Cricetulus griseus: one gene and its partners. The protein of the gene in region 2 interacts with the protein of the main gene of each other region in a pairwise test. Links are inferred from orthologs where the notes say so. Each region holds a gene or a part of one and is shown on either strand. Other genes may lie near its edges.

What was found.
Region 1: the proteins of Kif9 (region 2) and Prmt6 interact in a two-hybrid assay, tested with the Homo sapiens proteins (2 studies listed by BioGRID and IntAct). The link is inferred for Cricetulus griseus from reciprocal best matches to the Homo sapiens genes KIF9 and PRMT6.
Region 3: the proteins of Kif9 (region 2) and Zbtb8a interact in binary tests that used the Homo sapiens proteins (3 or more experiments, as listed by UniProt). The two-hybrid records come from large-scale screens. The link is inferred for Cricetulus griseus from reciprocal best matches to the Homo sapiens genes KIF9 and ZBTB8A.

Annotation. Positions count from the first base shown.
Region 1 is NW_023276806.1:46,951,733-46,962,151, reverse strand, and holds the start of Prmt6 (protein arginine N-methyltransferase 6), read right to left. Parts: upstream 4,904-10,419; 5' UTR 4,849-4,903; coding exon 3,718-4,848; 3' UTR 3,612-3,717; intron 1,498-3,611; 3' UTR 1-1,497. UniProt on the Homo sapiens protein: Arginine methyltransferase that can catalyze the formation of both omega-N monomethylarginine (MMA) and asymmetrical dimethylarginine (aDMA), with a strong preference for the formation of aDMA.
Region 2 is NC_048597.1:217,963,283-217,973,467, reverse strand, and holds the start of Kif9 (kinesin-like protein KIF9), read right to left. Parts: upstream 5,526-10,185; 5' UTR 5,153-5,525; intron 5,136-5,152; exon of another isoform or gene 4,731-5,135; intron 4,247-4,730; 5' UTR 4,041-4,246; coding exon 4,004-4,040; intron 1,002-4,003; exon of another isoform or gene 895-1,001; intron 1-894. Other genes in the region: Klhl18 (kelch-like protein 18), read left to right, coding at 5,594-5,722. UniProt on the Homo sapiens protein: Essential for normal male fertility and for progressive motility of spermatozoa.
Region 3 is NC_048595.1:23,660,659-23,670,939, reverse strand, and holds the start of Zbtb8a (zinc finger and BTB domain-containing protein 8A), read right to left. Parts: upstream 6,530-10,281; 5' UTR 6,157-6,529; exon of another isoform or gene 6,068-6,156; intron 1-6,067. UniProt on the Homo sapiens protein: May be involved in transcriptional regulation.

The DNA of each region.
Region 1 (10,419 bases), on a different chromosome or scaffold from region 2:
GGAGAGGCTTAAAGGATGAGAACTGCCTTTCCAAGTTGGCTCAGCAGAGCTAAGAACTGGAAAGGGTTTCCAGGCTTATGGACGGACAAGAATGACTGATGTCATTTTATTGTTCCCATTGTATTCTAGATGTTTCAGAGGAGGATGTACTTATTATAGTGCTTAAACACTATGTAGTTGTTGTTAATAAAATTAATGGAGAAACATACATAGATGACCATATGGGGGGCATGTGGCCTGTGTTTGCAAATGCTCCCTAGGTACCATCTATCCTAGGTACTGGGTGGTGTAAACTGTGGGGATAACAGCAGGGCTGGCAGCTGTTTGCAGCAGGCAACTTTGATGTCTACCTTCCCCAACTCCTTATTCCATTTTCTGTATCTCCTTGAGAGCTATCAGCTGCCCCTCAGCCAACGTGACAAGGAGTTCACTTGCCTTTGCTACTGTCATGGATTCAGTTTCCTGAGGACCCCAGAGTGTTACCTTTGATTAACTGTTAGGGAAATAAAAATAGGGGTTGTCCCAGTGAGTGGCTACTATTTCAAACTCAAGGAGTTGTACCCTGCAGACGATCCAGGAAGGTCTAGACTCATCTGTTGAGTCTTTCTAGCACTAAACTTTTCCTTTATCATCAAATAATTAAACCTTTGTTACCATTATGGTGGTCTGTAGTGTTCTGTTCTCTACTGAAATACGAAGGATCAATGACAGTGAATTGTTGTTCAGGCTAAGGAAGTCAAAGAGCTGTGCTTAAGATCTAACTTTGAAGAATTAGGTGTGTGCTGGGCACAGTGGTACAGGGCTGTTAACTCCAGCATCTGGAAGGTGGAGCCAGGAACATCAAGAGTCCAAAGTCATTGTCAGTTACATTGTGAGTTGCAGGACAGTGATGCACTACTTGTGATTCCATCTCACAAAACAATAAAGTATTTATACATATAAGATATATATATATATATATGTATATATATATATGCAAATCAATTTCTATAGAAACCTTTTTACTTAATGTGTAAAATAATAAATATATACTTTCTGACACTAAAACCAGCCCATCCTATCATCATGGCTTTTAGTTTCTCTAGTGGCAGTTATGTATTAGAGGGCAGAGTTCAGATTCTTTTAGTTTGTAGTCCCAAATACCTATCACAATGACTATTAGATTGTAGTTTTAACTACGCTCATTGGCTCAATAAATGGGAAAAAATAGGAGTTTCCACAGTGTTAAATGAATGTAAGCTGTGAGGGAGGTAGGTGAACTTTACCATAATGCTCTCTCTTGGGTCTGGTAATCTAGGCCTGGAACCTTGAGGGCTCCACGTTACCAGTCCCAATCCACATAACATATCAGACAGTGCCTGGGTGTCCACACGCCTCTAGCTTTCATCCCTCCCAAGTGTGCTCATTCCAAAGGCTGCGGCACTCTTTGGATCCTGTGGTACTCAGTGGCATATGCTGCTCTTCTTGTATAGTCATGTTGATAATGTCAAAAGGTGCCTGTAAAAGAAAAAGAAAAACAAAGTGAGTATTTATTCTGTAGCACATTTTGTATGTAGCCTCAGACAGCTCTAGGGTTGCCTTTTACACAAACTCAGCACCATGGAACTGAAAGCTTACTTCTGGGTTACCTATATTAATTACTCATATCCCCAATTGTCTGTGGAGTAGGTACTATTATTATCTCCAGTTTACATGAGGGATTCGAAAAGAAAAAAAGTGTGGCTAGGCGTTGGTGGCGCACCGTCTTTAATCCCAGTACTTGGGAGGCAGAGGCAGGTGGATCTCTGTGAGTTCAAGGCCAGCCTGATCTCCAGAACGAGTACCAGGATAGGCTCCAAAACTATACAGAGAAACTCTGTCTCAAAAAAACCAAAAAAAAAAAAAAAAAAAAAAAATTGTGTGTGTGTGGGGGTGGGGTGGGGGGATGTGCTAGTATGCTTGAAGGTACACAAGTATGTTTGGATTTTTTGGCTCTAGGCCTTAAGCACTACACCCTGCTTCTCACCTTTAGTGCCTGCTTCAGCACCCCCATTTGTCTAATTTGTCTTTCTTTCGAGAAAATATAACTAGAATTTGGAAACTTACTTTGTTCAGTCAGAAAAATCTAATCTCTTTTCACACCCTCCCAAATTTTAACTGGATTTTCCTTCTTGTCCTTTTTTCTCCCCCCCACCCCCCAATACAGTACTTGTATTTACAAAATATGCCGAAAAGAGGGAGTCCACAGAACACATTCAAATACGAAAGGTCAATCAAAAGCATCAGCAATCACTCCAGGTGAAGGCTTGATTAAAGACGTAGATGATCCCAAAGGAACTAGCTTTTAAATTTCCAGACCAAGCATTTTTAAAAGATGTTAAGTATTTGACATCAAAATTTTAAGATTTTACTGGAGTGCTTGACTGTTTTGAAACACAGAAGGCTTTATATTTGTATATTTCTCTTCAAAACAGAGCTCAGAAAATTAGCTTTGATATTTTAGCAATTTAATGTGCAATGAATAAAAAAGCCAAAAACAGAGTAAGATTACAGAAACTAAAATTCAAGAGTACTCAAGATCACCAGTTTTCAGAACTGCTTTCTGTTAAACTTTCCAAAAGAATTAAAAACCGTGCTAATCATAATTTGAATTGTCTTCCAGCTGTGTTCTGCAGGAGCTGTAACACTTAAGAACTGACACTATTAAGACTTGGGTACAGCATTATAATAAACTCATAGATGGTACACAAAACGTCTTAAGACCTCAACTATAAAAAGTGAGAATGCCATTTTATTTGCCACAGAAATGAGGGAAAAAACGTCAGTGAAATAAATTTGATAACATGACTCACACTTCATTAAGAGTGGTTTCCCCAAATTCACAATGTTCCCGTTTGGCTGAACTAAAAAGAACTGAAGAAAGGAGCTTGTAAGTAGGACACTTATGTTCCTTCCAAATGAGTTTAGATAACGCACATGAGGTAAAGAATACATACACTCTTGGGTTGTGTTCAGCAATCTTTGTCAGTCGGCTTTACAAGAATCATAAAATATTTTTTATAAAACATATATGAAATTTTCTTGGCTCAGTCTTAAAAGTAAAAATAAGGATATTCAAACCCATATTATTTCACTTCCAAATTTCTTCTCCTTTAAGAGTTGCCTAGACGGGCTGTACAATTAGTCATTTTACTAAGATTATTGTGAGCATCAAACTTAGCACCCCACGGATTAAGAGTAATGAGAAGAGGGCTAATTAAAGTACTTCACGAGTGCTCCAGTTCCTCACTAACCAGATGAGTTTTAACTAGAACACAAGGTACCTCATCCTACAGCCACCTAGGACTTGAGAGAATTCAGAGACCCAAAACAAAACCAAAACACTCTAAAAATGATTTGAAATTTCTGAAATCTAATCGAGCCATTTTGCTCTTCTTCCCAGTTTCATATTGAGATAAGGGAGGAGGTGTCAGATTGGTGCTCGGCCAATTTATAAACTCATATTTTTTCCCCCACCCGCCCCCCAAAGTGAAACCAAAGAAACAGAAATACAAGTTTGACACTACATGCTTTCCAGACTTAAAAGCACATTAATAAGCACACTGCACCAGTCCTTGGTCAGGGAGGCTCACTTTTTAAATAAACATTGCCAGAAGAATGTCCTCAAATGAAGACTGAAGTCACTCTCCCTTCCTCTTCGGACCTTCCGAAGAAGGTGGGTGGGAGAAAAGGCAAGGCTCAGTCCTCCATGGCAAAGTCTTTGGTCTTTTCCTCCTGGTCCCCCACTTTGTAGCGCAAGAGGACGCGCAGACGTCGGGGGTTGTCCCGGGAGGGCAGCAGAGTGATCTCTCCAGAAATGTCCGTGTCTTGTTCCACCGGCACCGGCTCATTCAGGTAGAGGAGCGCCTGCTTCCAGTGCGTGGCCGGGTGAAAAGGCGAGGTGGACAGCACCAGAGGTTTCTCCGAGTCCCCTCCAGGGAAGGTCACCTGGAACCAGATGGCAAAACCGTGCAGAGGCGCCGAGCCATAGCAGCTGCAGCGGAAGCGCCCGCCTACACCGGCCTCCAGCTCCTGCTCCAGGCCGGCGCGGGCCAGCTCGAGCTGGGCAAAGCGCTGCGGCCGGGCCAGCACGTCCTCGCCGGACAGACCCTGCACCACGATCTCCGAGTGGCCCATGAGGCAGCGCGTGGCGAAGCTTTCCAGGCAGCTCATGTCCACGCCATAGTGCTGCTTCACCTGGCTCCAGAAACCCAGACGCCATTCCAGCATCTGGTCGCTAATCGGGGCCACGAAAAGCTCCGCGGAAGCCGGCAGGAGGAGACCGCCTTCCTTCAGCCACTTGGTCCGCGCGTGGAGCACGGAGCTCAGCATGGACTCGTGCAGGAGCCCGTAGCCCATCCACTCGCTCACGATGGCGTCCACCTGCTCCGGCAGCTCCACCGTCTCCACGGGGCCCGGCAGGACGTGCACGCGGTCTTCCAACCCGTTGAGCCGCACTACCTCCCGGGCCTGTTGCCAGATGGCGCTGGCCTCCACGGCGTACACGCGCCGGGCGCCGGCCTGGGCGCAGAAGATGCTTAGAATGCCGGTGCCCGCGCCCACGTCCAGCACGGTCTTGCCTCGCAGCGCGGCCCAGTTCCGCAGGATGCCCAGGCGGTAGGCGTCGGTGCGGACGCGGTCGGCGATCATCTCCTCGTGGACCGAGACGTCGGAGTAGCACTCGTAGTACAGCTGGTCCCGCTCGCGCTTGGTCCTCCGGGGTCGTGGCGGGGCTGCCTCCTGCTCCCCGCCATCTTCCTCCTCGGCTCCCTCCCCTCCTGCGCCGCCGCCGCCCCCCGACTCAAGCTTTCTTTTCTTGATCAGCGACATCTTGGCCCAGGCAGCCGGCCCCCAGCAGGCGTTGCGCGGTGCGGCGAGCGGACTCCGAGTCCCGGGGGCTGCTGGGATTTGTAGTCCCCGCTGGTTATCCCACCTCTTTAGGGTGGATGCGCGCTGAGGATCTCATTGGACTACAGGGCATTGTAAAACTTTACATACTTTTCCCCTACGACCACGCTGTTATGCTGGGGTTCTTTGAGTTTTTGCTCTTTCCGTTTGTCCCTCGGTCTCTATCCGTTTCACCTATTCTTGAAAAGGCACACCTACTCACAACTATGAATCTCTGCTCCCTCATGGGGATGCCCACCAATTCAGTGCCACTACTGAATTGAGGTGGCACGGTTCAGATCCCTTCCCCGGCACTTGTAACTCATCAAGCTCTCTGTTCTAGCTGTAGTTAGGTTGCAAAGAATGTGTAAGTGGGGCAAAGTGAAAACCTAACAACACAGGATCTTGGTTCTGAGTCCAAAATGATCCCCAATGGACTGAAAGATCCCGGCCAAGTAGTAGAACTGCTGTGGCCACCAAATGCCTTTTCACCCACCATTGTGTTTCTGGAGAATAGTTTACTTCGACTTGAGCCCTGTTCTAAAACTCCTATGGTTCAAACTAAAGAACAATTAAAGTCTGTCGTGTGATACTCTCAAACCCAAAACCATTACTAGTGAGTATCTAGTAACCAGTTTATACATAAACACATACAGATATACATAAATCTATATATCTATACATATTTTTCTTGAGGGAATGATGGAATTCTTGTCTTTTGACTACTTTTTCAACGCAGTTTGCTTTGTAAACCCCGATGTCTGTTTCCTTTTATTTTTTTCGTCATTCAAGCAGGAACTGTTAATATCTTTTCATTGTCCATAACAGAAGTACAATAATTTTTAAATATTTGCTGTCTGGAGCTGGAGAGAATGCTCAGGAATTTAGAGCACTGGCTGCCCTTCCTGAAGACCCAGGATGGACTACCAGCATCCTTATGAAGGCCCACAACTGGCTTTAACTTCAGTCCCAGGGTATCTGCTGACCTTTTCTGGCCTCTAAGAGTTCCAAGTAGGTATGTGGTCCACAGACAAACATGCAGACAGAATACCCATACCCATACATGTAAGCAAAGCTTTTTATATGACTAAATGGTTTTTTTTTTTTTTTTTTTTGGTTTGTTGAGACAGGGCTTCTTTGGAGGCTGTCCTAGAATTAGCTCTCAAAGACCAGGCTGGTCCAAAACTCACAGAGATCCGCCTGCCTCTGCCTCCCGAGTCCTGGGATTAAGGGCGTCGAGTCCTGGGATTAAGGGCGTGCCCCCACCACCATCCGACAACTGTTTCTTTTTTTCTTTTTTTTTTAGTTTTTAATTACTTCTTACCTTTAATTGACTTCTGTTTTTTGATTTTTTTCTAACTTTTTAAATTTGAATTAGAAACAGGATTGTTTTACAAGACAATCTTATCTGTCACATGTCTTTTGTGCTCCCCCTGGATGGTGAGGCCTTCCATAGGGTGTCATCAGAGTCTTTCTATCCTTTGGGATAGGGCCTAGGCTCCCCCCCCCCCGTGTGTGTGTGTGTGTGTGTGTGTGTGTGTGTGTGTGTGTGTGTCTTGGCTCAGGGAGTATTCCTCCACATGGAATGGGCTCCCAAAGTCCACACCTACACTAGGGATAAATACTGGGCTTCTACAGGAGGTCCCATAGATTTCTGAGGTTTCCTCACAGAAACCCATGTTCCTGGGGTCTGGATCAGTCCCATGCTGGTTTCCCATCTGTCAGTCTGGGGAGCAAGAGCTCCCAGATGTTCAGGTCAGCTGTTTCTGTGGGTTTCACCAGCCTGGTCTGGACCTCTGTGCTCTTCACTGGTAACTAAATGTTTCTTTAACAAGAATAACATTATTTTCCAAGCTTAAAAATTAATCCCACAAAAGAAAATGGGCCTTTGTTTTCTTGTGTTAAAATACTTGTTTATCTATGCTAAACTTCCTGGTGATAGAATTTCACTAATGAAATAGGTTTATCCATGTGAATTCCTCAACTGTACTTCTAAACTCAGGACTCTCAGTCCTGGTGGCTCATTAGAATACTCCAAGGAACTTTATCGAAATATCTATGGCAGGATCTACCTCAGCCCAGTTAAATGAGAATCACTCAGGGGAACTTAGGCATCTAGCTTTTAAAGCTCCCTAGGGAATCCTCGTGTGAAACCAGGTAATTATTGCTATTTCTGATTTAATTTCATTAGTTAAATCTTATATCATTATTTCCAACAGTCAGGGCTCAGCAACTTACAACTGAAAATCCTTAAAACAGGTATTCTTCTTTTTACCTTGTTTTAATATCTTATTTTAACAAATGATACCCAGAATGGGACATGAGATTAGTTATAAATGTGAGAATTTTATAACACACATTAGGCTTTAACCTAGCTTATACTGCTTCCACTCTGTCCTTAAAGTGTCATTTTCCTTTGGGATATGTTAAATATTCTGATTTTTAAAAGCTATTGCATTAATTAATTAAGTTGTGTTATTATACATGTGTGCATACACGTAAATGCCATGGTATGCTTGTGGAAGCCAAAGGACAACTGAGGAAGCTGGCGCTTTCCTCTTCATGTGGTACCTGGGAACCAACTCCAGTCTCCAGGCTTGGCTGTAAGGGTTTTTCCTACTGAACCATCTCCCTTATTCAGAGTGGTTTTTGTTTGTTTGTTTGTTTGTTTGTTTGTTTTTTCAAGACAGGGTTTCTCGGTGCAGCTTTGTAGACCAGGCTGGCCTTGAACTCACAATATCTGCCTTTCTCTGCTTCTTGAGTGCCGGGATTAAAGGCGTATACCACCACCACCCTCAGAATGAGTTTGTTATCAATCCAGTTTTCACTTTGCTTCTTTGTGGTTCTTGTGAAAATATTCTAAACAACATTTTGTTGGTTCATTTGCTTTTTTCGTTTTTTTTTTTTTCCTCAGAAAAATCTAACCCTGTTGAAGATGGAGGTGTCTTTCTAGCCTGGCAATCAATCAGTCTCCAAAGGAATCTCCTTCCTACTACCCACACCCCTAACTAACCCATTCTTCATAGCTTGCACATGTGAGCATTACAAAAATACATTAAGCTTTCGGGAACAAGCCTTTAATCCCAGCACTTGGGAGGTAGAGGCATTAAGATCTCTGTGAGTTTGAGGCCAGCCTGGTCTACAGAGTGAGTTCCAGGACAGGTTCCAAAGCAATACAGAGAAAACCTGTCTTGAAAAATTCAAAAGAAAGAAAGAAAGAAAGAAAGAAAGAAAGAAAGAAAGAAAGAAAGAAAGAAAGAAAGATTAAGCTCATATCACTTGAGGGATTTCCTGTTCTCTGATTGAGAGAAACAGGTAACTTCAGGTGATTTCCATCTTACCTCATAGCAGCACTGCTGACTCATCAGTGGGATCAAGACACACTCACTGATCTTCTAACACCAATACTTCTTTTCTGGGTCCCATATCCACTTATGTGTGGCCAAAGCCCAGAAAAGAACTCCCTCTTTATCACCTCACAAAAGTGGCCTGACACAGAATGCCTTCCTTGTCTAATATTTTCCCATCCAAGATGCCGGTGTTTTTCCTTCATAGCTATTGTTATTAACTGTTTATATCTAATTACTTAATTTATTTTCTAAGCAAGGTAAATTCCATGAGATTTGAACTTATGTTATAGTCCCTAGCAGGGAGTACAAGACACCTGGGGATGACACATTGAGTGATTTTGACTGGACTGTTGTGGATAAACAATCATGTTTTCATCCAGATGAAGAACTCAAGTTTTGTTAAGTATGAGCATGTCTCTATATCATGCTGGAAAACTTAGGTAAATTCAAGTATAGATTGAATTCAAGATCTTCTCAGAAATGAGAATTATTTCATTTTACCTTCTCTTGTAGGCAGAATGATGATAAGGCCACAAATACAAAGTATAGAGAAGAAAAGGCCTGTAACACTTCCCTCTTCTATATCTTGGCTTGCCATAGAGAGGGAATTCATTGCTCATTCTACTACATGAAATATTTTGGAGTGGGAAAGGGATCCAGATAATAACTGTCTCAGCACTGAAGGTCAATAGGAACTCTTACACTACTGAGTCCTCTAGACAGGAAGGGAGTTGTGGCTGTGCTGGCCGATTATTCTTCCTATTTCCTTTGTAGTGGTATACCTTCACATCCATCTAGTGAGGAAACCCAATGATTTTTCAAACAAATGGACTTTGAAACAGTGTATTTTAACTAGCAATTAGAATGGAAAATATTAAAACTACGAAATGATAAAGGCTAGCTATTGTTTCATAAAACCTGCTTTAGTTGAGTATAGTATATGTGTTTCTTGCTTTATGTTAAAGACTTTAACATCCACAGCTATTTTACTATTTTCCATGGCTTTTGAACTTTAATATGTCCACATCTTCTCTTTGGGGTTTATGATGGCTAATCTTGTTTGTTAAGTTGACTATATCTGGAATCAACTAAAACCCAAGCAATTGAGCACACCCATGAGGGATATTTCTAAATTGGACCATTGAGAAGACCTACCCAAAACCTGGATCTTTTAAGGTTGAGAGACCCACCCTAAAATCCTGGCTACACCTTGTGGCAGCCCACATAAAGGGCATGGAAAACAAAATGTTTTTGCTTTTTGCCTGCTTATTCTCAATCTGGATACAAGTTCATCTATACTGTTGCTAAAGCACTCCTACTTTGATATTAGAATCTACTTTAGGACTTCTACATAGACCAAAGACCAGCTGAAGCATCCAACCTTGTGGCCTGAACAACTCCTGGATTCTAGGCATTTCAGTGAGACAGCCATTTTTGGACTAGCCAGACCATAGCCTCTGGGCCTCTCTCTCCCCCCCCCTCTCTCTCTCTCTCTCTCTCTCTCTCTCTGTGTGTGTGTGTGTGTGTGTGTGTGTGTGTGTGTGTGTGTGTATTAATTCTATCAGTTATGTTCCTCCAGAGAACCTTGACTAATACAGGTTGCTATTCAATTGTCTCCACCTTCATAGTTTTACATGATACTCAAACATAAAACCTTTGTAGGCTGTTCAATTGGTCTGAAGTTCTAGAGTGCTTTTCCATATCACCTGGGAGCATTTTGCATGTTTTTCCCATCTCATATTGTAGCCATCTGAATATCAAGATTATGTATTTTCACTTTTATATTGAGAACTTGGTACGTTGTTTGGGAGTCCCAGGCAATTCCACACTGCAGATTGTTGATTCTGGAATCATAGGGTCATTGCTGTGTTTGTTTTATATGACTGAGAAAGTCTCAAATTGATCTTTGGCATCACACAATTAATGGGTTTATTCAGTCATCCATTTATTCAACAAGTATCCTGGGTGTCTATTCTGCACTAAATATTCTACAATCAAGAAACATCCCAATAAACAGAAAGAGAGAAACCCTTTCCTCTGCTGGAGGAGCTTGTATTCTATTGTGAATGTTTATATGCAAATTAGTATGCCATTTGCATGTCAGCTCTCTTTTCTGTACTATTTTCATCTTGGATTTCCTGATGTGGTTTTTCCCCACAAATAA
Region 2 (10,185 bases):
CCAGAGTTACAGTTGTGAACACAGGTCCTCTGGAAAAGCAGTCAGTGATTTTAACTGTGGAGCCATCTCTCCATTTCCTCACTACATACATACATACATACATACATACATACATACATACATACCTATATACGTACATACATACATACATACCTATATACATACATACATACATACATACATACATACATGTGTGTGTGTGTGTGTGTGTGTGTGTGTGTTTGTCTTGTTATAGTATAGTGACTGAAGACAAATGACATCCTTCTGTATATATGTTTCTCTTATGGTTGACGAATAAAACACCGATTGGCCAGTAGCCAGGCAGGAAGTATAGGCAGGGCTACTAGACAAGGAGAATTCTGGGGAAAGGACACAGGGAGTGGTTGAAAGGGAAATACCATGTAGCTGCCAAAGGAGTAACATGCTGGATTACAGGTAATCCACAGCCTCATGGCAATGCATAGTTTAATAGAAATGGGTTAATAATTAAGAGCAAGCTAGCCAGTAAGAAGCCTAAGCCATTGGCCATACAGTTTATAATTAATATAAGCCTCTGTGTTTATTTGAGGCAAAGCAGCTGTAGGACCAGGTGAGACAGAAACTCCGTCTACAGACAAATATATACAGCTTTGTGGGATGAACACTTGTAAAATATAAAATAGAAGTGATAGGGAGGCAAGCTTGGTTAAAGGTCAAGTAAAGTCAAAATGCTACTTGAAAGAGATTCTACCAATTGGACTGCTGCTCTTAATTCAGAGTGGAAAAGCAAACAAGTGATTAAATGCAACTGATAATTCAACTAATTTTGTTTTGTCTTGAGACTAGTATTCATGTATCCCAGTCTGGCCTTTTAAGTTTTATTTATTTATTTTTCAAATTAAATTTTAAATTAAAGTGCTCGTTTTGGCAGCACATATACTAAAATTGGAACGATATAGAGAAGATTAGCATGGCCATTGCGCAAGGATGACATGCAAATTCGTGAAGCATTCTATATTTTTTTTAAAAATTTAAATTAAAGTTAATTAATTTAATTGTGTGGAAATCAGAATACACATTTGTGGGGTCAGTTCTCGCCTTCCACTTTCACATGGGTTCCAAGGATGAAACTCAGTCACCAGACTTGCAAGGCAAGTAACATCCTTTACATAGGAGCCATCTCACTGGCCCAAGGCTGGCCTTTAACTCCTGACCCTCCTGTCTTCACTTCCTCAGTGCTATATTACAGATGCATACTGTGATACCCAATTCATTTTTATGACTTTAAGGGGGAATGAGCACTTGTTCACTTTTTTTTTTTTTTTTTTTTTTGGTTTTTCGAGACAGGGTTTCTCTGTGGCTTTGGAGGCTGTCCTGGAACTAGCTCTTGTAGACCAGGCTGGTCTCGAACTCACAGAGATCCACCTGCCTCTGCCTCCCGAGTGCTGGGATTAAAGGTGTGCGCCACCAACGCCCGGCTAGTTGATCACTTTTTCCAGTGTCTCATGATATATAGTGATGATAAAGGACTAAGTACTGACACAAAATCTTCAGTGCTCTAAGGCAAGAGAAGTAAAATCTACTTGTAATAATCATTAATTCTGTTAAATCTAGCTAAATTAAACTGAGACATTTGGGTATGTACATGTGTGCACTCACCTGTGTGAGTGTGTGTGTGTGTGTGAGTGTGTGTGTGAGTGTGTGTGTGTGTGTGTGTGTGTGTGTGTGAGTGTGTGTGTGTGTGTGTGTGTGTGTGTGTGTGTGTGTGTGTGTGTGTGAGTGTGTGTGTGTGTGTGTGTGTGTGTGTGTGTGCGCGCACTGGCTCATGTTAGTGAGCATATGAGCTAGAGGTGGAAAAGGAATGTCTGCACTGTTGACCTCCTCCTTATATTTTGAAGCAGGGTCTGTCACTGAACCCGGAGCTCACCACTTTGGTTATACTTGCTGGCCAGCAAGCCCACAGGATGCACATGTCTCTCAGCTCCAGCATGAGCAGCTTTTATGTGGGCTCGAGGAATCCAAACTCTGGTCTTCATGCTTGAAGCGACAAGGACTTTACCCAGTGAGACGTCTCACAGCTCTAAGATGAGCCCTTCCTAAGAGTCAGATGTTGAGGCAGCACCGTGCCTGCCTAAAACCCCAGCACTTGTGGAGGCAGGATGGTCATAACAATTTCAAGGTCATTCTCCGTTGCATAGTGAGTTCAAGGCCAGTCAGGGATTAACAATGGCCTATCTCAAAAAATAATACCATTTAGAACTACTATTGTACAATGCACAAAACCAAATTTAAATACAATAAATACAGGATGTAGGCTGCACTGTATACTCCATTAGGGTTGGGCCAGTTCAAGAAGGAATAAAGCATCTTCCCCCAAAGTAACCTGCACTTTTATTGAGGGAAGGAGACAGGAGAGGAGTAGGGAAGAAGCTAGAGAAGGGAAAAGGAAAAACAAGCATCTATCAGCAAAAGAATTCACTGAATTTATGAAAAGTTAGAGACATGTCAGACAAAGGAACATGATTCAGTCTTCTAACAAATTGAAGGGATGCTTAAGGATTTTTAAAAAAACCTTTACAGGAAAACTTTCTCATGTGAAATAGAACCTCTTCTAATATTCATAAAAATCATATAAGGGGCCGGGTGGTGGTGGCACACACCTTTAATCCAAGCACTTAGGAGTCAGAGGCAGGTGGATCTATGAGTTTGTGACTAACTTGGTCTATAGCCAATGCTGTAGTGAGACTCTGGGTCAAACAAACACATGAAAAAGACATAGAAGTCTCAACAAGATGGCGTGGGTAAAGACACTTGCCATTAGGCTTAATGACCTGAGTTTGATCCCCAGGATAGTGGAAGAAAGGGCCCAAGCTATCCTCTGACCTCTACACAAATTCTTTGGCATATATGGGTGTGCGCACATGCTCGTGTGCACACACACAAACACATGCACACACTTAATAAACTAAAATAAAATATTAAAAGCGTATCAAATAAGTAATAGTAACATTTTTACATATACTTTTCTAATAGAGGTGCAACGATGTTACCTAACAAAAATTATTTTAGATTTTAAAACTATTAATGGCTTTCACATGTCTATACACAACTTGAGATCATTTCCTCTTACAATTACATTACAAATACATATGATGTTATGTATCCTACAGAAATAAATTAAATGGAAGGTGCTACTCTTCCAGCTTACAGTTTTGATGATGTGGATAAAATGAGAGCATCACCCATCGATGGTATGCACTGCAAGTCTCAAATCAAGTAAAAAACACAGTACCCCCAAATTTGCCTGTTACAGTGTAAGCATTTCCTATACCGCTTGAGTACCTATTTCATGGAAGTCTTTCCCTAGCACTCTTGTATCTTTTAGAGGTTTTTTTTGTGGTTGTTTTTAGAAAATTAATCTGAAAAATATTGGGGTAAGAAAAGAACGAAGCTTGGTTGAACCATTTGTCTGAAAAATTGAGCTCTTGGAAAAAAAATCACACATAGCTCTAATGTGAACCCCAAATTGAGGAAACCAAAGGGAAGATTTCATTTCCAAGTTCACTTTGATTTATATTACTGAGAAACTGAGAATAGAGAGAAGTGATTTGTTGTTCGTGATTTTAAATAATGTTTTCCCTGAGATAGTGTGTCACAGTGTAACCCAGGCTGGCCTTGACCTCTCAGTCCTCTTGCCTTTGCTTCCCAAGTGTTGGGACAGCACCTCCAAATGAGAGGTGTGCTTTTTACTCAGTTTCTACAGCTCTGGGAAACCCTCCCAAACACAAACCCCAACAGCCCAGCTTCCTGCCCAGCAAAATTCCAGTGCCATTGGGTATAAGCTAACATTTTCAACATGCACATGCAGCCACCTATCTATTCTTCCCTAGATAGGTTCTCCTGACTCTCATGCCACCAAACATTCCTGGAGTCTGCAAGCTGCAAGGAGCCTTTCCCATGACCTACACTCCTCCCACAAGCCTACAGCTCAACAGCGCGTCTAAGCCATGCCATTTGCACTTACTGAAATACTGCTTGTTACCGTTCTTATGTCGCTTCATTTATGTGGGCTTCAGCTCCCAAATGAAATTACAAGCTGCGTGAGGACAAGGAGTGTGCCTTTTCTCTCTTGTGATTCCCCCCACAAGGTCCAGAACAGCGCCCAGCACACAGCAGGTGCTCAATAAATGGTGGTTGGTGGTGAGAGTCATGGCTGGAAGTCTGAGGGTGACTGAATCTCCATAGGTGGGTCCATCTTCAGTCACTACTGAGAAAGTTCCAAGGTATACGATGTCACTCCTCTCCCACGCTACCTCTAACCCCTGAACTTGCAGGCTTCTTAAGAAGAACTTGATTTCCAGGTACAAGAAGCCATGTTCAGTCTCTCAACACACCCTCCGCATTAGATAGTGTATCTTTCCCTCAGGACTTTGCACGGAAGCCCCGCCCCCTCTCGTCATTTGAACAAAATCTTTGGATAAGGCTGATTGATAAAATGAACCCTCTGTGCTGAGAGATTCAGTGTTCCTTCATTTGTTTGGGGCCTGGGAAGGCCTCATGAAGACTTGACATTCGATGGGATGACTGGTAGGCACTGGCGGTCCCTATCTGCCATGCTCTTACCTGGACCAGAGACAAAGACTGCCCGAGAAACAGCAGCATCTACACCCACAACACCTACTGTACCACACCGTGAGGTGAACCCAAACCTGGCATCCAGGCAAAACCAGCCTCTCTCTCTCATTTCTCACCCTTTTGACAGACAGCTTTCCTAAAGCGTTCATGGCAGGCGAACTCGCTCCCATTCCCAGGCCCTTCTGCAGAGCTTTCCTCCTCTGCCGTTCGAAAGGATCGAAGTGAAGATGCCGAAGGTCTCTCCAGTTCGAAAACTGAGGCGTGAAGCGTCCGAATGACCCCTGACACTCAACCTCACGCCCTCTCTGTCTAGGGCGAGTCGTGGGACCCCGGGGGAGACTCGTGGGACTAGAGAACATTAGTTCAAAAACTTGACGCTCCCCTAAGCCGCGATCAGGCTTGAAGGGGCACAAGATGACACAACACGCTCTCTAGGGGTGCCTGGGTTTCTACAGAAAAGGGCGCTGGCGGCAGCCAGGGCGGATATCCGCGCGAGTGCTCTTTGACCTAACCCCACCGGCGCGTGGCTACTGCTCACCTCGCGACCTCTGTAACTGCAGCGACTCCAAGGAGGAATCCGGACTGCCTGACGACCCGCTGTGTACACGGTCGCCATGGCAACGGGAAGCTTCCAGGGACTCCGGAAGTGGTGTAAAGCGGTGGCGGAATTGAAGTCCTCACTCCCCCGTTGAAGGTACAGGCAAAGTCAGGGCTGAACGAAGAGGACCTAGATGGGGCCGATTAACCTGGAAGGCTTGGAGCACCTGCGTAGGCGAAACTGGGGTTTAGGTTGCGGCAAAAGAAGGTTATGTATGAACCAGGAAGCGGGGCATCGGGACTTCCGGTGCGTACGGCGGCCGCGCAGGGCCGTGGGATTTCTGCTTCGCGCTCCGCGCTGCCGTCAGCGTGCTCCCCTGCCCCGCCCTGGTGAGTGTGAAGCCTGCCGGCCAGGCCTGCGCAGTTGCGGCGGCCGGGGAAGATGGTGGAGGACGGCGCGGAGGAGCTGGAGGACTTGGTGCATTTCTCCGTGTCGGAGTTGCCTAGTCGTGGCTACGGCGTCATGGAGGAGATCCGGCGGCAGGGCAAGCTGTGCGATGTGACGCTCAAGGTGCCGGGGTCTGGGCGGTGGCTGACTGAAGCAAAGGGACCGGGCGGGAAGCAAAGCGGGGTGGTGGACCGGGGAAGAGAGGTTAGAGAGAGCAGGGTGGGACGGAGAGCGGTGCCAAGCGCAGAGGGGGATTGAGGCCAAGTTGGGAGAGGAAAGGGGCAGCCGTTCAGCCATTGGAAGGAAAGACCGAGAGTTGTGCCGCTGACGCCCTAAGAAAAGGAGACATTGGGGTATCCGCCTCCTTTTCTGTCACACAGACGAGAGAAAATGTTCTTGCAGCCGGTCTATGGAGGAAGGGGCGGTGGCTGACTCCACATTCCGATGGGCACACTAAAACATCTTATCTTGTCAGAAAGTCATTCCTTTGTGCTCCTTGAAGTTGGCTGTGCTGTTGTACAGGCTAATAAGCCATCTCCTCAGGAGTCATTGCCTGCCCTTGGCGCTTTTAGAATCGGGTCTGGAGATCTTTTGGTGTGGACTACTCTGCCCCACGCTAGAAAATAACCCGCAGTCACCACCAAAAGGTCCTGGAGGCCAGGCTAATGGGCTGCTTGGGGAGGGGAATATATTCACCACCTGTTCCCTACCAGCATTCTGGTCTGGTGTCCTGTGCTTTGGATCAAGCTGGGCTGCCTCTTGACTACACTGCTGAGCCAGGTGGATGCCCTCCAGGTGGGGAGATGCTACTTGCCTGTGGTTTTTCCTGCTGGACTTTGCCTGGAAGGCTCTTAGTGTGTGCCTAACACTCCCTCTTCCTGTTTCAAAACAGCAGAAAGACACAGACACCTTTTCGATTTTGCTTTCTACTTAGTTAAGGAAACTTTGCTTCTCCACATATTAGAGTCAGACTGGTAAGTAGGATGGTTAATAGTTTGGCACTTTGAAAAGCAAAGCAGTCTGAGAGTGGCTTTGGAGACAGAAGGATTTGCATGAAAATACTAGCTGTAACCTTGGGCAAGTTACTTAATCTCCCCAAGCTTAAGTTTTTCAAATGTGGAAATAAAGATGACTCCTAAATCTCACTATTAGTGAGGATTGAATGAGATGTTTGGTATTCTTTGTACAACACCTATTGTGACTTTTTCATGACCCCTGAAAGAAATGGTTTTCTATTAGAGTACTGAACTGGCCTAAGAAGGGGCAGGATTTCCCCAGGTAAAACAGGGAAACCAAGAGGATTATTAAAACTAACCCGGACTAAAGGATGCAAAAGGTGTCAAGGCCACTAGAGACTTGGAAGCTGAAGAGTGACTTAATTGTGGCAGTAACATCTAAGATGAGTGGGGACTAGTGAAAAGCAGTAGGAAGAAAGAAGTTTTGTGTTAAGATTTGGACTGGCAATAGGCTGATCAGGTAAAGGCAACTTGCTGCCAAGCCTGATGACCGGAGTTCAATCCCTGTGACCCACATAGTGGAAGGATAGGAATGATTCCTGGAAATTGTCCTCTGCCCTCCGTAAGTATGCTGTGGCATGTACACACACACACACACACACACACACACACACACACACACACACACAATAAAAAAATGTCTTTAAAAAGATTTAGGCTGTGTCAGGTAGTGGTGGCACACGCCTTTAGTCCCAGCACTCAGGAAGCAGAGGCAGGCGAATCTCTGTGAGTTCAATGCCAGCCAGGTCTACACAGAGAAACCTTGTCTGGAAAAAACCAAAAAAAAAAACAAAAACAAACAAACAAACAAAAAACATAGGTTAGAACTAAACATAACTATAGACTCTCTTCTATAAAGCCTCAGGAGAGCTCAGTGGTGCTGGGAGCCATAGAAAGGCCAGGTCTACATTTCACTACTTACAACAAGGGCTGTTCGAGTCTTACCTCAAACTTCTGGTGAATCCTGACTGTTTTTAGTTAAGCAGACACTGAAGAACCAGTTAGAGGCTTTTTGGCACGTGATGATGTAGTAACTAGTTGCCCCCCTCCCCCCCCCCAGTTAGGGTAATGGTTCTCAAACTTCGTCAGGTGGACTTGTTGTTCATTAGAGCTCACCCTAGAATTTCTGAGTCATAGGTATGGCATGGGCCCTGTCAAGTTCACCAGTGATGCTATCATCCAGTACTACATTCCAAGAACCAAGCTATAGAATAAAGTACTTGCTCTTTCAGTGTAGATGCATAATCAATAAATCTTTGTATTCGGGGATGCCCTAGTTACCCAAGTCTGGAGTCACGAGTTTATCCTGTTCAGATGTTTTTTTATTAGGGCAGTGGCAGGACAGTTGCCTGCCCAGTAGAGGGGACCAGTACTGCCTGTTTTGGGCCCCTCCTCATGACACACCTTCAGAGGAGACTGGTGTTCCTAGTGCTCAGAGTTGGAGGTTATTCTGCAGTTGCTTGACCTCTGCATTGCTCAGAATTCTCTACCGGGTCAGGCACTGGCTTGTCTGGTTTTCATCTTGTAATCATTTGTTGATGTTTGTAATCTCTCACTGTGCTGTGTTTTCGTTGGGAACTTTGCTTGATGATCTGAGATGCAGTGTGACACAGACTCTGCACTGATCTGAATCCTGGCTCTGCCACTTCATAGCTGAAAAAACTTAAATTCCTTAATGATAGGGAGTCAGTTTATTCCTCTGTAAATGGACATCATTACCTACCTGAGTGCTAACGATTCAATTACTTTATGAACTTCAAACTTCATGTAATGAATGCTCTGCGAATAGTAGGTGTTTGTGTTTTATTATCTATCTGTCTGTGTATCTATCTATCTATCTATCTATCTATCTATCTATCTATCTGTATGTGTTTTAGATAGGATCTCATTAAGTTACCCAAGCTGGCTTTCAACCATCTGTCTCATGCCTTGCCTTCCTGAATACTGAATGCTGGGGTTACAAGTATACACCAACATGTCTGTCTCATTTATATGTATGTATATTAATATATTTTTGTTTGTTTGTTTTTATGTATATGGATATTTTTATGTACCACTTGTGCACCTGGTGCCCTTAGAAGCCAAAGAGGACATTGGATCCTGTGGAAATACAATGATAGATGGTTGTGAGCTGCTGTGTGGGTGCTGGGAATCAAACCTGAGTCCTTTGGAAGAGCAGTCAGAGCTCTTAACCACAGATCCATCTCTCTAGTCCTTAATAATAATGCTTAAAGAGATAAGATCTCAATGTGTTGAGCAAGCTGCCCCAAAACTCTTGTGCTCAAGTCATCTTGCCTTTGTTTCCCAAGTAACTGGGACTATAGGGGCATACTGTTGCGTCTGATTCATTAATAATAATTTAATGATGCTTCCAGAGAAAGTATAAATAAATGTATGTGTTCCGTTTGCAGATTTTTGCTTTATCTTATTAGTGTTTTGTTGGTGGTGGTTTTTGTTTTGTTTTTTTCAAGACAGAGTCTCACTATGTAGCTCTGGCTGTCCTGGAACTCACTCTGTAGACCAGGCTGGCTTTGGATTTACAGAGATCCACCTGCCTCTGCCTCCTGAGGGCTGGGATTAAAGGCATGCACCACTACCCTGACTGTTTGCATTTGTTTTTTGAGACAGGGTCTCAGGTATCCTGAGCTTGCCTTGAATTTGCTATGTAGCTGAGGATGACCTTGAATTCATGATCATAAGTATTCAGATTAAAGGCATGCCTCACCACACTTGGTCTAAGTGTGCAGTTTTGAATTTATCTGAGTTTATTTATGTTCCTTGCCTTCAAAGAGTTTGCAATCCACAGCTCTTCTTCAGTAGCTTACATTTAACAATTGAGACAAAGTCCAGAAAGGGCTTGCTTAAGGTCACAGGCTGGATTAGGCAAAAGTAGGGTTAGATGTAGTCTCCGTGCTCTTGTGTTGAGTCTTCTGTTGCTGACAGAGTCTGAACAGAATGATTTCAGTCACTCCTTTGTGACTTTGAATTAAGCTCCACCAGTTCAGCCTCACTCACTGTTAACTTAATGCCCTCCTCTTCCTCTCTTCCCAAGGAGGAAAGTGAGCGTTCACAGGCTCTCACACCCTCTCAGTTTACTGCTAATACTTGGACCTAGATTTGCTTTGCCTTTAGAAATATTTAAACTTAAATGCCTTAGTAGCCCATTGGATGGTTATGTAGGAGTGTGACAGAAAGGAATAATATGTTCATTTTTTAAAAATCACATTTTAGCCACGTGATGGAGGCACACACCTTTAATCCCAGCACTGTGGAGGCAGAGGCAGACAGAGCTCTGTGAGTTCCAGACCAGAGCTACATAATGAGACCCTGTTTCTTTTCTTTTCTTTTCTTTTCTTTTTTTGAGACAGGGTTTCTCTGTGGCTTTGGATTCTGTCCTGGAACTCACTCTATAGACCAGGCTGGTCTCTGCCTCCTGAGTGCTGGAATTAATGGCGTGAGCCACCAACACCTGGCAAGACCCTGTTTCTAAACTAATTGATTAATTAAAAATAAAACAAAACCCCCTTTTTATTTTTTAATAATTTGAACTTTTTATTAGGAACAAAACAG
Region 3 (10,281 bases), on a different chromosome or scaffold from region 2:
ACCTGTAGAGGTGACTCACACAGAAAGTTTTATTGGGGGGGGTAAGGAAATAAGGTAAAGACACACGCAGAGAGAAAGAGGTCAGAAAAGACGAGGGAGACAGGAAAAGTCCTATCTGCCCAAGGGGAAGAGTGGGAAAGAGAGCGAAGGGGCGGGGTCTTTCTTTTACAGGGCTCCTTTGTACCTGAGAGCAGGCTGACCACAGAAAAGCCTGAGTGCATTCTGCCAGGTGACAGGGGCAGGTCAGTTTAACGCTTGAATCCTTACACCAGGAAGGATATAATCGGTTGGGAAACTGCTGTTTAGCACATACAAAGCCAGAGCACACCCAAGCACCACATAAACTTTGGAGTGGTTGTGGACACCTATAATCACAGTACTGAGGAAATGAAGGCAGAGGATTTTGAGTTCAAGGCCATCCCTGCCCACATAGCAAGTTTGAGGCCAACCTGGGCTACATAAGACCATGTCTCAATAAGTAAATAGTCAACATTTTCAAGAGAAAGTTCAGCTGGGCGGTGGTGGTGCACACCTGTAATCACAGCACTCGGGAGGCAGAGGCAGGTGGATCTCTGTGAGTTCGAGACCAGCCTGGTCTACAAGAGCTAGTTCTCCAAAGTCACAGAGAAACCCTATCTCGAAAAAATAAAACCAGAGAGAGAGAGGGAGAGAGAGAGGGAGAGAGAGAGAGAGAGAGAGTTCTTCCTGAATAACAAAGCAACAGGAAGTGAAGGATTCTAGCAGGCCTGAGCATGGAAAACATGGTGCTGACAGGCCCCTTCCTTCTCTCTTGTAAACCATAGATTACATGCTGGAAGCTAGCCACCAAGGTTCATTCCCCATTTGGACACTTTATTATGCCAGACTCATTCTCAAGGCTTGTCATCAAGGTCCAATTCCATCAATCAAAAGCCCTTTTTGGGCCTGAGGTATGGTGTGTTGTGTGTGTGTGTGTGTGTGTGTGTGTGTGTGTGTGTGTGTGTGTGTACACGTGCGCGCGGGTGCACATGTGTGATGGTGCATGCCTTAAATCACAGTACTCAGGCGGATTTCTGTGAGTTGGAAGCCAGCCTGGACTACACAGAGTTCCAGGACAGCCAAGGCTACTCAGAGATATAGCCTGTCTGGAAAAGCCAAACCCAAAAACAAACAAACAAAAAGCCTCTTTGGGCTACCTTAGTTAACATGCCCAATCAAAACATACCATGGCATCCTAGGCCATTCTAACATAGACTTTCCCTTTTTGTCTCTTAAAAATTACACCTGTAAGGTCATTTGCTGCTCTTTTCTGCCTGAGTCAGAATGCAGCCACTTTTCTTCCCTGCTTAATAAAGGATCTCTCCGTGAAAATGGGTATGTGGGGGGTGGGGTGAGGACTAGACATATGGCTCAGTGGTTAAAGAGCACCCACAAGCAGCTCACAACTATCTGTAACACCAAGACCTGATACCCTCACACAGACATATGTGCAGGCAAAACACCAATGCACATAAATGCAAATAAATAATTAAGAAAAAAAAGAAATAAATAGGTGTGTGGTCTGTGCCTAATCCAGGGTCTAGGAAGGAGCATCCCGTTGTGTGGGGATCCCTTCACAACATGCTCAGTAACTGGCTCCCTCATTAACTTGTTAACATTCAGCATACTTTACAATAGCAAACAGTATCCTGCATCAAAAGGCTGATTTTAGGCTTACAGGACTAAGTCACAGGCATGGATAATGCCTTCCAGATTTTCTTATTTTCAGTAGACTGATCTTACAAGTTATATTAGCAAATACGGTTAGATTACCTCAGGTGAGTCATCCAAAAGTCAAATGGAACATTTACAATATCTCTGAGTTAAGTATCTATAGTAGCCCTTAAGAAGATTACAGAATTCAAAATTCCCACTAAGGTCAGTGATCTTTTAAAAGGTGGTGGGAAAAGACAATTACATATTTTAGGAACCATTTAGTTTGAAGGTCTTTAGAATAGAAAGTCATGTAGATTTGGATAACAAGTAAAGCCTGATACTATTCACAGCATTGACCCAGGGCAGTGAGTCTCAACCTTCCTGCTGCCATCCTTTAATACAGTTTCTTCTGTAGTGGTGATCCCAACCATAAAATTATTTTCGATGCTAGTTCATAACTGTAATTTTGCTGCTGTTATGAGTTATAATTAAATATCTGAGATGCAGGATGTTTTAATATTCGACTCCTGTGAAGGTCTCGACCCCAGGTTGAGAACCACTTATCTAGACCTAAGTGTGTTGGTCTTAGCAAAAACCCCTAGCTCCTAAATTTGAGTTAACTGGAAGGGTAATTGTGTTCGTTGAACAGTGGTTATATTCTTCAGAAAATGAAGGTCTTGTAATTCTGGGAAGATTTAGAATTAAGTCCATCTTAAGAGCTGTGCTGTAAAAGGCCGTGTCTCCTCCGAAATTCAAACTGAAAGTTAATTCTCAGGGGAAGAGTATTTAGAGGAGCTTTTACGTGGTTATCAGGCCAGGGAGGGTGCCCTCATGGATGGGATTAGCATCCTAATAAAGGGATTTGGAGAAATGGGTCTGACCCCTCTTCAGCCTTCCTATCCATTTTACTAATGAGGTCACAGTTTTCCCCTTGGTGAATGTAGCAACAAGGTACCATACTGGAGCAGAAAGAAGCCTTCACCTGTCAGGGTACCGCCAACACCCTAATCTTGGACTTCTAGCATCTACAACTGTGAAAAATAAATATCTGTTCTTATTTTGTTTGTTTTGTTCGTTCAACTGTCCTGGAACTCACTCTGTAGACCAGGCTGACCTCAAATTCAGAGATCCACCTGCCTCTGCTCAGATTAAAGAAGTGTAAGACCACCACCCAGCAATATTTCTTCTTTTTGTGTTATCTAATCTCAGATAATTGGTTTCAGTAGCACATATGGGCTACAGGACCTAAGACAGGAGATCTTTAGAACTAAATACAAGAATATTTGCTGGACATGGGGGTGCACACCTTTGATCCCCGCACTGGGGAGGCAGAGACAGGCAGATCTCTGTGAGTTCACAATCAGCCTGGTCTACAAATTGAGTTCCAGGGCAGCCAGGGCTACACAGAGAAATCCTGCTTTGAAAAAAAACAAACCCAAAAGACAAAAACACATTTAAGAGGGGCTGGAGATGGTTAAGAGCACTGGCTAAGGACCTGGTTTGCTCCCCAGCACCAACAAGGAGGCTTATAACCATCCAAGGGGATCCAACACTATCATATGCACTTGGTATACAGACACACTTACAGGCAAAACACCATTTAAAACTTAAGAAAAAAAAGAGACAAACTATAGCTGAAAGCCTCAGTTAGAAGATGACATTTCATTTGAGTAATGTCCAAAGTAGGAAAGAGTCATTTATTTGTATCTGAAACAAGAGTACTCCAGACAAAGGGAACAGCAGGATGCAAAGGCCCTGAGTGGAACAAGCATGGAGAAGGCGTGGGGAGAGCTATGTCTATAATGCCAGCTGAGCTGGGTGGCTGAGGCAGGGAGGAGCAAGTCCAAGGCAGCCCTAGGCCACTCAGAAAACCCTCATCTCAAAATAAATTTACTTTAAAAAAAAATGTGGCTGGGCAGTGGTGGCGCATGCCTTTAATCCCAGCACTCAGGAGGCAGAGGCAGGCCGATCTCTGTGAGTTTGAGACCAACCTGGTCTACAAGAGCTAGTTCCAGGACAGCCTCCAAAGCCAAGAGACAAAAAAAAAAACCAAAAAAAAAATGTGGCTGGCACTCGGGAGGCAGAGGCAGGTGGATCTCTGTGAGTTGGAGTGAAAGACCCCGCCCCCTGGCTGGTTCTCTCTCGGTGACACTCCCGTACGCGCGCACACTCCCACACGCCTGGCGGCTGGCTCCCTCCCAAGCCGGTTCACCCAGGCGGGGGGCCCTCGACCCAGGCCCGCCCGCCTGGCGCCGCGCCCCGGGGCTGGGGCCGAGCGGGGAGAGGACGCCCCCCCCATGGGGAACCTCCGTCCCAAGGTCAGCCATCTGGACGCGGAGGGGGGAATTGGGTCTGTTGTACCAGGTGCAGACCTTGAGAATATACTGATAACTCTGTACCTCATTAAATTGTCCAATAGAATCCCTGTAACTATGCTTTTCGCTTCTGCACTGTGCTTTTTAGCTATATAAGGACCCCTCTCCCTTGGCTCGGGGCTTAGCCTACCCAAAAGCTAAGCCCCGGGGTACCAGCGCTACTAATAAAGCCTCTTGCTCTTACATCCAGAGTTCGTGGTTTCGCTGATTCCTGGGTGCGGGTCTCCTTCTACGAAAGTACCTCTTCTGAGGTCTTTCAGGAAGCCAGTCTGATCTATAGAGCAAGTGCCAGAAGAGGCTCCAAAGCTACAGAGAAACCCTATCTCACAAAACAAAAACAAACAAAAAAACCAAAAAAAAAAAAATGTGGCTGGATGGTGGTGGCGCACCCCTTTAATTCCAGCACTCCAGAGGCAGAGGCAGGTGGATCTATGAGTTCGAGGCCAGCCTGGTCTACAGAGTCAGGAGTTCCAGGGCAGCCGGGGCTACACAGAGAAACTCTGTTTGAGAAATAAATAAATAAATAAATAAATAAATAAATAAATAAATAAATAAGGAAGGGGTCTGGGAATGTATCCCAACAGTAAAATATTTGTCTAGCGTGTGCAAGTCCCTGGGTTCAATCCCGAAACACACACACACAAACACAGTGAGCCCAGTTCCTATAAGGCCTTGAAGACTATAGGTCTTCTGAGCCTTTGGGTTTTTTTGGTAAGATGTGGGGGTGGTTGCCATTTAAGGCTTGGGGAGGGTTGGGCATATGGTTCATTAGTCGAGTGCCTATGTAAACATGTATGAAGTCTTGGGTTCAATTCCAGCACAGATTCATGCCTGCAACCCCAGCACTTGACAGGTGGCTGTAGGAGAAACAGGAGTCCAAGGTCATCACAAACTATATAGATTTGGGGCCAGCCTAGGCTACATAGGACCTTGTCTTCAAAAGAAGATACTTTTTAAAAATCAGGGAAAATTTAAAAAAAACAACAACAACCTTATATCAACCCCTTTGATATTAAAGAATATAATTATGCCATTAAAAGATTTAAGACAGACTGAAATTCGACTAGTTCATCCCAACCCTCCCGAGGTAGAGATAGAATCAAAATTTCAAGCTAGCCTGAGTCCAGCTTAAAACAAAATTAAATAGGTAAATGGAAGTAAGCCTTAAGTGATAAAGATCAGTGAAGGTTTTTGGTTCTTGGAGACTGACTGCTCCAGGAGGCTGCTGGAATAGGAGGGCTGGAGAAGTTGTCAACACTCCCTGTCTAGGGGTGAGATTCCGTGGTTAGAGTCTTTCCTTTGCAAGGGAGAATAAACGGCCTGAACAGGTAGTTGTCTTATAAGAAATCAAGTGAACTATTTCATGAAAGCGAAACCACTCCATTTACTAAAGTCCTGCAAACATAAAGACTTCTAAGGTGTTAGCGGTGTGTGCGGTTGGGTGCCCGCTAGGTGTGAATCCCATTCCAAACACGTCTCGGAAAGACGTGGAATACTGCTAACCGCACGGTCAAGGGCGACTAAGCGCGCCAGAGCGCGAAGGGACCAAACCAGATAGTGTCGCCAGGTGGGAGATGCCAGGGACATTCTCCCGGGAGCCAGCTGGGGCTCCATATTCCTGTCCTCGGTTCTAAGCTCGGAACCGTCGTGTCGTGTCGTGTCGTGATCGAAAGCGAGAGGGCGGTGGGTGGAGTGAGAACGCCGGGCGGCAGCGCCCCGCGCCCCGCGCCCCGCGCGCCCGCGCCCCGCGCCCTTCCCCCGCCACGGCGCCCGACGGCTGCAGACACGCCCCGACTCCGTGGCGCCGCCTCCCTACCGCCGCCGCCAGGAGGCTCCGGCGCCTTCCCGCCTTTCCGGGGCCGGCCGCGGGCGGGGCGCGGGCGCGAGCGGCGACGACGCAGCCATTGTCCCGCAGCCGCGCCCGGGCCGCCGCGCCGCCGCCCGTGCCTCCTTTGTGGCCGTCGCCGGCCCCGGAGCTCTCCCCGAAAACGCCTACACACCGGGGCGCACCCGGCGGCCTCGCCGCCCTCCGCCAGGCTCTCGGCCGGGCCCGCAGCCCCGACGCCCCGGCCGCCCTCTGCCCGCCCGCGCCCTCGCAGCCACTTACCGCGGGGCTCTGGCCGCTCGTGCTCGCTGCGGAGTAATTCCCGGTTCCCGGTGGGGGAAGCACCCCCTTCCGAAGCCGAGGCTGTGCGCCCTAAAACAAGTAGCCCCAACGTGGGAGAAACAAAAGGTATTTGCTGACGTGGGCGTTGGACAGAAACGCCCGAGGGCTGAGGACACAATTAAAGGGGCAACGCACAGATTTCAGGCACCAACCAGCAGCTTCGCCCACTCCCCCTGTCCGTGCCCACACCCGGCTGCACCCTCCGCAGGCGCTGGGGCGCCCAGATTCCCCAGCAGTTGACTGCGGATCATTCTTTTAGTCGCGAGCTTAAATTTTAAAATTGTACTTTACGTTGGGAAAGGCGCCTCCGGAGGGCAGAAAAAGGGCTAGGATTTCTAAGATGTGGGGATATTGGTTTAAGGACAGAGGGAGGGACTTAGGCGTGCCCACAATTACTGTATAAGTACATATGACATTATTGTTCTTAAGTTTAGCAACGTCAAATGGAAGAGATTTCCACAAATTTCCTCTCTTTATCGAAGCACTTATTCTAGTCAGGGATAACCCTTTAGAAACCTTTGTAGGTCCCCTTCAGACCATTTGAAAAGGCAAGCCCAGAGAGGCTGAGATATTGAGAACATGATTTTATTTTGTGTTTTTGTTTTTCAAGACAGGGTTTCTCTGTGGCTTTGGGGGCTGTCGTGGAACTAGCTCTTGTAGACCAGGCTGGTCTCGAACTCACAGAGATCTGCCTGCCTCTGCCTCCCGAGTGCTGGGATTAAAGGCTTGTGCCACCACCGCCAAGCTAAACTAAATTAATTTTATATTTCCTCATATTAGTTGTTAATTGCTGTGAAATAGTGTATTATGATGAAATGGGGGGAGACTCAAATCTTCAAAGCATACATTTAATGTTTTTTTGAGGGGTTCCTCTCCCAAGTCTTAGTTGGGCCTATTAGGGTCTTGTTTCTTCGGTTTCCTCACCGATTAGCTAGAACAAAACATTTGGTCTTTCCTGAATATTATACCTGTTTACTCCAGAGTTGCTTTGTGATTTAGATGTGTTTCTTTACCTTTTGAGGTAATGGAAGGAAAAGTAGCCAGAAGCTAGTTTGAAAATCCTTACCACACCTTTAATCAAAGCACTCCAGGAGGCAGAGGCAGGCAGATCTCTGAGTTAGAAGCCCTCCCAGGACAGCCAGAGCCGCATAGTGAGACCCTGTCTTGAAAAAGAAAACCGTTATGGTTCAGCATTGCTGAATATGCTCAAGCTGTTCTAACATTCCCATTGAAGATTTATCCCAGAAAGAGCTGGACATTATAGTAGCTTATTGCAGCACTGGAAAGGCAGAGGCAAGCAGGTCTCTCTGTATTCAAGGCCATCCTGGTTTACAAAGAGAGTTCCAGGGCAGCCACAAGGAGACCCTGTCTCAAAACAAAAACATTCTGCTGCCAATTAAGCCAACCAGGAAGGTTCCTTTGCACCCTAGGGGGCCTGGCTTGCAATGCTTGCAAATAGCAGCCTTTTGTCCATTCCTGCGTCCAAGAGGAAGTTGGAAACAATTCTCCAGCGGCTATTCATGTCTCTGATCTGGAAGCTAGCCCTAGTCTACACTCCAGACAGGTATGTAGGGGAGCCCCAGGGCACACTGGCCACGGTTAATTTAGGCCAGGTCATCCTGTCAATCCAAACCACATCTCAGAGCAGAGGGGCCCCACCAAATGGAAAGCAGGTGAATTTGAAGGGGGAAAATGGTGTGTGTGTGTGTGTGTGTGTGTGTGTGTGTGTGTGTGTGTGGTGTGTTTCCTCCACTCTAAATGCCATTGCCACCCTGAACTCCTGGGCTCGCTCTATCATCATTGTCTTGTTCAACCACCCAAGCAGCTGGGAAGCGAGGTGTGTGCCGCTGCGCTGCGTCTGGCCAAAGGTTTTATTTTTAGTGTTAGTGAATTCAAACAGCCAACATAGCCAGGTGTGCTGTAAGGCCAGCGACTGGCAGATGTAAAACTGGAGGGCCCGGCAGGCATTCCAAGCTAGCCTAGGCTATACACCTGGACCTTTCTCCAAAAACAAGTGAGCACATAAAATAGAACAAGTCTGTAAGCATGCTTCTAGACAGACCACATAAGGTTGCTTGCTGATGCACTGTATTCCGAGGAGAAAGAGTTTTCCTTTCATCTTCATCCTCCTGACTTCAGTTGTTAGACCCTAGGAAAGCTGAGGCTTCCAGAATCTTAGCCCAGGACCTCGGCCACCCCAAACACAGAATGGAGGCGAAAGCTCGATGCAAATTGCATGAGGCTTTATTGTAGTTTAACGAGCTAACCCCATGTTAGCTCGGGTCTTTGATAGCACCCACCATGGCAGATGGCTAGCAAAGACGGCTCCTAGGGGCTCCCGAAAGATCTTATAGGGCAGCATAAGGGGAGTGTCTAGGGGTATGCACAGGCTCAGGATTGGTGTGCCTCCAGGCTTGGAGGGCTTGCCCTGTGTTTATTGGTCAACTGGTTGCTATGCTTTGTGCGCCATTGCCGTGCACTTGTCCGTAAAGCACACCCAGAGCCGTAAAGCATAGCGCCATCAGCTAACTTCTGATTGGTTCCTTGCCACGAGGCAGGCATCTGACTTCTAGTGACTAGGACAAGGTCTTGGCAAGCATGTGTTACTGTCATGGCTGCTGAAAGGAGCAGCTGGTCCCTTCAATGAATGTTTTGTCCGTATGTGTATATTGAGGTTACTTACAGGAATATGGGTGAGGGATTACTTACAGGAGCCCCTTACTGTTTATGTGCCTGCTGCTGGTGGTAGAAGCCAGCAGAGGGCACCGGGCCTCTGGAACTGGGGTTAGGATGGTTATGCGACACCACGTGAGTTCTGGGACTCAAACCCAGGTCCTCTGTGAGAGAGCCTCCGGTGATCTTTCCACTGAGCCATCTCTCTAGCATCTCCTTCCAATTTCACAGGAATTTATTCAGCACATACTATGAGCAAGGTGTTTGCTGCTGACTCTTAAAATACAATAGTGAATAAAAACTCTTGGCCCAGCCGGGCAGTGGTGGTGCACACCTTTGATCCCAGCACTCGGGAGGCAGAGGCAGGAGGATCTCTGTGAGTTTGAGACCAGTCTGGTTTACAGAGTGAGCTCCAAGATAGACTCCAAAGAAACCCTGTCTAGAAAAAAACAAACACAAAACAAAACAAACTCTTGGCCCAGCATAGAGTTCCAGGACAGCCAGGGCTACACAGAGAAACCCTGTCTCAAAAAAGAAAGAGAGAGGAGAGAGAGAGAGAAGAGAGGAAAGAGAAGAAAGGAAGAAAGAGTGAGTCAAACCTGATGGTTGTTGTGTAACAGCCTGTGATGAAAACTTTCCTTTTTTTTGTTTTTTTGTTTTGTTTTGTTTTTCGAGACAGGGTTTCTTTATGTAGCTTTGGAGCCTATCCTGGCACTCGCTCTGGAGACCAGGCTGGCCTCGAACTCACAGTGATCTGCCTGCCTCTGCCTTGAGAGTGCTGGAATTAAAAGCATGCACCAACAAGGCTCAGCAAAACTTTCCATCTTGTAGGGGCTCTTTAAGCAAAGAGCCAAACAGCAAGAAACACCTTCAAGAACTCCCTGGAACTGGGCAGATTCCCTAGGCCCCTTCCTGCTAGAGACTGCAGAGCCCAGCTGTAAGGAAGACTCTGGGCCACCTGAGTTGCCTGGAAGAGGTTTAGACCAACCAAGGCACCTGGAAAGGACACTCTCCAACCTGCTGAGCTGCCTGCAGGCTTTGCAGTGTGCTTCAGGTTCCCAGCTTTGGAGCTGTCAGCCATGCTGGGGTGGACCTTGGGGATGCAGCTGTCTTTGAGTCATTTCTGCTTCTGTAAGTAACCCTTCACCCATACTCCTGTAAGTAACCCCCAAAAAACTCATTGATTTTCCAAGCTGGACTTTGGTGGTGTCTGTAGTTTAATCTGTCATAGGAACCCTGTCTGGGGTGAGAAGATGAGTGTGTTTCTTCTCCTGGTAAAAGTTTTGTCACACAACAGTGGCTCATACCTTTAATCCCAGCATCTGAGAGGCAGAGGCAGGTGGATCACTCTGAATTCAGGCCAGCCTGGTCTACAAAGATAGTACCAGCTAA